Linked DNA regions of Mus musculus. The protein of the gene in region 2 interacts with the protein of the main gene of each other region in a pairwise test. Links are inferred from orthologs where the notes say so. Each region holds a gene or a part of one and is shown on either strand. Other genes may lie near its edges.

Evidence for each region.
Region 1: the proteins of Plekhb2 (region 2) and Cda interact in binary tests that used the Homo sapiens proteins (3 or more experiments, as listed by UniProt). The two-hybrid records come from large-scale screens. The link is inferred for Mus musculus from reciprocal best matches to the Homo sapiens genes PLEKHB2 and CDA.

The regions. Positions count from the first base shown.
Region 1 is NC_000070.6:138,337,738-138,341,021, forward strand, and holds the end of Cda (cytidine deaminase), read right to left. Parts: intron 1,264-3,284; coding exon 1,147-1,263; 3' UTR 791-1,146; downstream 1-790. UniProt on the Homo sapiens protein: This enzyme scavenges exogenous and endogenous cytidine and 2'-deoxycytidine for UMP synthesis.
Region 2 is NC_000067.6:34,866,757-34,870,576, reverse strand, and holds part of Plekhb2 (pleckstrin homology domain-containing family B member 2), read right to left. Parts: intron 1,278-3,820; coding exon 1,172-1,277; coding exon of another isoform or gene 1,086-1,171; exon of another isoform or gene 1-1,085. UniProt on the Homo sapiens protein: Involved in retrograde transport of recycling endosomes.

The DNA.
Region 1 (3,284 bases), on a different chromosome or scaffold from region 2:
CATGGCCCATTGGGATCCCGAGTCTATGCTAAGCTCAGCCATGGCTGAAAGCCCACAGCTGGCTACTCTGCCCATCATCTAAAAACAGAGGTGGCAGCCAGCTCCCAGACCACTGAGCACCTACAACCAACAACACAAAAGCATGCGACACTGAGCAGGTCCTGAGGGCAATCTTGTCTACCTTGCCCACACTTCCTTCCCATTACACTGTGGCAGGGGGTGGTGCCAGGACTCAGGTCTCTACTGGGCCCAAACTACTCTCTAGCAATGGTGTGCCAGTCAGCTTTCTGTCCTGTAACAAAGACCCGTGAGAACCAGCTCAAGAGGAAAGGTTTACCTGGGCTCGTGGTCTTGGAGGGTCTGGTCTGAGGCACCATTAACTTTGAGCCTCTCTGGCGGTCTAAGCGCACATCTCTGTGTGAGTGTGTGGTCACGACCAGCTCACCTCATAGCTGGGAAGTGATGAAGAGGAGGTACAGCCTGGAAGCCTCCATATCCTTCAGGGACACATCCCCAGTGACCTAGCTTCCTCCCACTCGGTCCAGTCCGTGGACCTTGGAGGCACATCCCATGTCCAAGCTATAGTGAATGGGCTCTTGTAATCAAACCCTGCCTAAGGGCCTCCGGTCCAAGAACGCAGAGGCAAGGAGCTTCGGCTCTCAGACGCCACTTAGAGAGGCAACCTGGGAAGCTCCCACATCCTCTGCCAGAAGAAAGCAACTAAGACTGCCTGCCCCGTGAGACAAACCACCCCTGAGAACTGTATACACAGACTAAGAACAAAAACACGTTCTTCTCAAACAGCACGTGCTGTGGCATTTATAATCTGAAAAGTCACACGACAGAGCCTAAGAAGGCTGGTAGGGAGGCAGACCGGGTCTGGAATACCCGTGTCTTTGGGAGTGGAAGGAGAGGAGTGCTCTGAGTCCCCAAGAGGATGTGGGCTTTGGCCTAGGTGAGTGGCACCTTCCATCACTCAAGGGGAGGCTGTGGTGTGTGAATCAAGGTCACCCTTGCCCAGCCATTTGGGACCCATGTGGCAAGTGTCCCCAAGGCCCAGCCAGAGACAGCATCATTATGAAGTCTTCCAAGAGCCGTTCCTTAGGTAGGGCTTGCACATTCAGCAGACATTCTATTCTTCAACCTTCACTGAATCTTCTGCAGGTCTTCAGGTCCAAACGAGGCCGGCAGCAGCTCCTGGACCGTCCTGACTACGAATGTGCCATCCGGCTTGGTCATGTACACGGCCCAGTCGGTGCCAAACTGGAAGAGAGGGCAAAGTTGTGTGAGGGAGGCCGTGGGACTGAGGGAGATGGAAGGTACGGGTTCGAATGTGACTCTACTATTTTCTTTGTGCCTTAGTTTCCATTACCTGTCAAATGGGAGTAACAATAGTTGTACCTGGCTCACAGAGCCTGGGGGAGAGCTCAGTGGAAAAGCATTGGCCAACATCACCGTGCATGGCCTGTTGTCAATGGGCCACGAGCATCCCCTTGGAGGATGCTCCCAGGAGCTTTGTAAAAATAATACCTTTGCCAGGCGTGGTGGTGCACGCCTTTAATTCCAGCACTTGGGAGGCAGAGGCAGGCGGATCTCTGAGTTCGAGGCCAGCCTGGTCTACAAAGTGAGTTCCAGGACAACCAAGGCTACACAGAGAAACCCTGTCTCGAAAAAAACAAAAAAACAAAAACAAAAAACCCTTCTCTCTGTTTTCATGTATGTGTGGTATACACGTGTTTGTATGCATGTGAGGGGGGGCGCATATGGGTAAACATGCATGTGGAAGCCCAAGGGTTGGGTCCCGAATCATCCTTCATGGCTCCTCTGCCTTATTCACAGAGGCAGCGTCTCTCTATCAAACCCAGAGCTCGGCCATATCACTAGTCCAGCCAGCCACTTTGCTGTGGGGATCCCCTGTCTCCGCCTTCCAAGTCTGGAATTGCAGGCATCTGCCCAGATCACCTGGGTTTCTAGGGATGCAAACTCTGGTCCTCGAGGGTTAAATATGCAAGAGTTTAACCACTGAAATCGCTTCCTAGCACCGGTTGAAATATCTGTGCCTTGGGCTGCAGAGATGGCTCGGCAGTTAAGAGATGGCTCGGCAGTTAAGAGCACTCAGAATTCTTGCAGAGGAGCCGAGTTTATCTCCAACCCCTACACTGGGAAGCCCACGATTTCCTCTAACTCCAGCTCCACGAAGATCTGATGCTCTGGCCTTCGTGGGCAACTGTGTTTAAAATGCACATCTTGGCACAGACATAATTAAAAATTAAATCTTTTTTCAAAGTCTATGCCCCAGAGCTAAGCTTCCTTCTGCAATGGCAAATGACAGCCAACACCCGCTGCCCTCTACAGGTTCCCCTTTGTACCTCCAAGAAGGAATTTTTGTCTCTTTCAGGACACTCAACACACTATGTTGACATTATAGCATTATCGCCCCCTGGAGGTGGTGGCTGTCATTACATTCCTTTCACTATTGGAGAAACAGACTTAGTGCTATCAATCAGCTGTGGTGGTTTGAAAGCAATGGAATTCTTGGTCCCCAGTTGGCCAACCTGTTTGGGGAGGGTTGGGGAATATGGGTGTGCTGGAGGAAGAGCCGCTGGAAGCAGGCTCCGAGGTTTCAAAATCCATGGTTTCCAGCACTCTCTCTGTTTCCTGCTCACTGTTCCAGATGTGAGGGAGTTTCCAGATGTGAGCTTCCAGCTTCCAGCTCCAGCCAGCATGTCTCTCATCTGCCGTCCCTGCATTATGGACCCCAACCTTCTGGAACCATTAGCCCCAAGTAAACTTCAACTGCTTTGGTCATGGTGTCTCATCACAGCAGTGGGAAGGTAACTAACTAATACATCAGCAGAGATGAGCATGTCTCCAGAACTTTCTCCCATGCCCTATCTGGGTCCTCTGGGGCTCTCTGTCTTCACCCACCACGTGTTTTAGTGATAGGAGCCCTTTCCTATCCACCAGCGAGGTGGGTAGGTGGGGAGTTAAGTCGGTGACAGAGAGGAAGTCAACAGACCCGACTTCTTCCTGGCAGGCATGGTGAGATTCACAGACCCTGGTGCCTAGTCGGAGCCCAGTTCTCAGAGGCCGTGGCATCGTGACTGATGTGTGGGCTGCCAGCCGAGGCTGGTCCACGCCTCCTGTTCTTCCACGTGTCTGTCTGAATCACTCTCAGACACGGTTACCAGACACTATCAATCTTTGGGATTTTTCAGAATTAAGGTTTCAAGGGTGGTGAATTTTCATGTTTAGCAAGCTGTGCCTGAGGGCGAGGGGGTGAG
Region 2 (3,820 bases):
TTAAATAAAATTGTCATGTTTAGTAAATAAGAATAGAGACACACCATTGGTTTGAATTTCATATAACAAATAACTTTTTAAGTATAACTATGTCCCATTAAACAACAACTAATTATTTTGGGAGCTATAGAAAGAATCTGAGAGGCCATGTGTGGCAGACGCACCCTTTGCCACTGAGCCCCAGGGAACCTCTTGTCTCCACATCCCCAGTGCTGGGACACAGGTGCACATTGCCATGCCTGGCTTTTATATGGCTCTTACATGGCGCTGGATCCCATCTCAGTGCGCATGTGTAACCTCCGGTGCGCACGCTCACACAGCAAGCACTTCACCTGCGGAACCATCTCCCCAGCTCCTTAGTCTTACTGTAGATTTGTACTGTGCCACCAGAATGCCTTCTAAGTTGTGTGGTTTCATTACACTATTCCTTACTTATCATGAGCTGCTAGTGTTTCAGACTGACTGGCAAGGGGGCTGGAGAGACGGCTCAGCAGTGAGATCACCTGCTGCTCCTCCAGAGAGCCCTGCTTCAGTTCCCAGCACCCACAAGTCAACTCAACCATGTATAACTCCAGTTCCAGGCACCAAATGCCCTATTCTGGCCCCGACAGGCACATGCACTTATGTGCACACATCTACAGACAGGTACACACAGGGAAAACTAAATCTTTTTAAAAATGTTTAAATTGAGTGACATACGGGAAATGTAAGCAACTAAGGTATATTTGGTTACATTTTAAATAAAGATTACTAAAACCTTTAAATAATCAAAGACTGGGCTGGAGAGATAATTTAGTGGGGCCAATCTGACAACCCAAGTTCAAACTCTGGGACCCACACAGTGTTAGGAGACAACTGATTTCCTTGAATTGCCCTCTGGCCTTCCCTCATGGGCTGTGACATACATGTACCCACACACATATGTGTAACAAGTGCACACAAAATCAATAAAAATGTAATCGTTTTTAAATAAAAATCACTCTAGCACTGTAAAGATATGTGAAAACCCAAAAGACTATTTGAAGAAAAATACACAAAGCTCAGAGCGGCAAAGTGATTTGGGGTCTCCAGTGAGAGCGTGCAGCTCATTTAACTTCCAACTGGAAAGGAGGCCTCCTCCTCCTCGCCCCGCTGTACGCAGAGACCGGGAGCGGCAGCCAGCGTGCATTACCTGCATACGGGTACTGGTATGGCACTGCATATGCCTGCCCGTTGGCGGCATAGACAACTTGAGTTCCTGCGGGGTATGCGCCGCTGTATGGACCATAGCCGTAGACCTGGAAGGAGACAAAGTCCCATGAGAAACACAGTTTTGAGGGAGGGGCTGGTGAGTTGGCTCAGTGGGTAAAGGCACTTGTCACCTAGCCTGATGACATGCTGTGTCCCCTGAAACTCACATTGTAGAAGGGATGAGTTGAGTTCTAAAAACTGTCCTTTGTTAGCAATAATGAAATCAACATACTTAAGTGAGCAGGGGTGCTGGGGGAGGGAAGGGGAGACGAGAGATGATGTGATGATACATACATGCATACATATATACATACATGTATACATACATACATACATGGGTGGCACCTGACCTCCACAGGTGTGCAATGGCGTATCCTAAATTGGTTAGTGGAGACACTGGTAACTCAGAAATCCCAATGAGTACAGATAGAAAAGGGGGAGGGACCAGGGAAAGTTTGCTCTCTCTGCCCAAAGAGCCAATAACTCCTCTACTCTACACAAACACTAAGAGCCCACTGCAGGAACACCCTATTCCCATCCCCAAAGGTCAGAGGTGGAAGCCCTAACCAGCATGCGCTACAACAGCCTCAACTACAACTACAACAGCTACAGCAAGCCTCCCCTGACCCCCTAGAGTACAGCCAGAAAAGGATGCACGTGGAGGATCTGGTGTAGACCAGATAACAAGGCACTCACTCTACCATGCAGCAGACCGAGGAGTGAGCCACAGAGTCCATCACTGCCGAGCAGAGGCAATCTGCCCTCCCCACCCCTAAGAACCACTAAAGGCCTTGTGGGGGTGGGTCAGCTGGCCGGACACCATGCACCTGTCAGTGGAAGTCGAGCAGTAATGGGCAGTCCTCTCTTCCCAACAAAGTGCTCTAAGGAGACTCAGAGAAAATCTAAACTCCTGAGCTGGAGCCCGGCCCCCGCTGTGGGCTGAGAATCTGGACTCCACCTGGCAAGATCCGAGTCTCTCCATGTTTAAAATGTCAGGGTTTTGACCAATAATCACTTTTAGCACGAACAGCCAAGATCGCAAACAAAATGACACAGAAGAAGGCCCACACTGAGACTGTAGAGATGTCAGATGTGGGCTGGAGTGCAGCTCATTGGGCGGAGCTTGCTAGGCATGCAAGAAAGGCTAGGTTCCAACCCAGCACCTAGGGTGAAAGATGCTAGAATTATCTAGAAAGGACTTGTGTATTGGGCTCTGGTGTATATATGTTGTGCAATGTATGGTGCAGGGGCAAATGTACATGTATAGAAGGTATACACGCCCATGCATGCATGCAGAGGCCAAAAGAGGACACTGGGTGTGCTCGCCCAATCTCTCACTCCCTCTACTCCCACACCTTATTCCCTTGAGATAGCGTCTCTTACGGAAAAGATTTTTTTTCCTGCCACAGTCTACTAGTTCTTTAGAACTTTCTATGTAGGCAAGGCTGACCTCAAACTCATAAAAATCCACATGCTTCTGCCTTCTGAGAACTGAGTCTAAAGGTGCGCACCACCACACTCAGCTCGGGAAAGAACTTTTTCAAGACAGGGTTGCTCTGTATAGCCCTGGCTGTCCTGGAACTCGAAATATAGACCAGGCTGGCCTCGAACTCATGGTGAGCTGCCTGATTCTGCCTCCTGACTGCTGGGATTAAAGGGGTACGCCATCACACTTGGCCCTCTAGAAAGGATTTTAAAGTAATTATTATAAAAATCTTTCAGTTAATAATTAGGAAATGAACATACTTAAATGAAAAAAATTAAAAACTCTACCCAAAATAATAAAAAAAAACATATAAGAAAAACTCAGTATAATACATACTATATATTAATATACAAAGAATACAAGTTCTGGAACTAGCCAGGGTGTGGCGCTGCACACTTGTAACTCCAGATTTTGGGAAGCTAAGAGAAAGTGATCAAGCCTTTACAGCACCCACATGGCTCACAGGGCTCACAACTGCCCTTAACTCAAGTTGCAGGGTATCTGGTGCCCTCTTCTGGCCTCGGGGTGTACTGCATGCATGAGGTGCTCACAGATACCTGAAGGCAAAACACTCATACACACAAAATAAAGTGTATCTTTTAAAAACAGACAGTTACATACAACCATTTGAAAATAATGGGATAATTATAAATCCAACGAACGTGTACTAAATTTTTATGCTGAAAACTGTAAAATGTTGACAAAACAAAAATAAAATAAAGAAAGCCAGGAATAAAAGCAGAGTGACAAACAGAGAAGTCCACGAGGCTCAGAGCAGCAAACACGCCTTCTCTCTAAGCGTGATGCATTGGCTTACAGCAGCTTTGTCAGAAACCTTGCAAGGCTTTGCAGTTAATACAGATAAACGGATCCAGGGCTGGCCAGATGGCTCGTTGGATAAAGGTGCTTACCGCCAAGTCTGCTGGCCTGAGTTTAATCTGCAGGACTCACAGAATGGAAGGAGAGAACCAACTCTCAAGTTGCCCTCTGACCTCTACCTGTGTGCTACAGATGCAGGCACTACATATACACACACACACACACATATACACACATATACCATATATATATATATATATATATATATATATATATATATACATA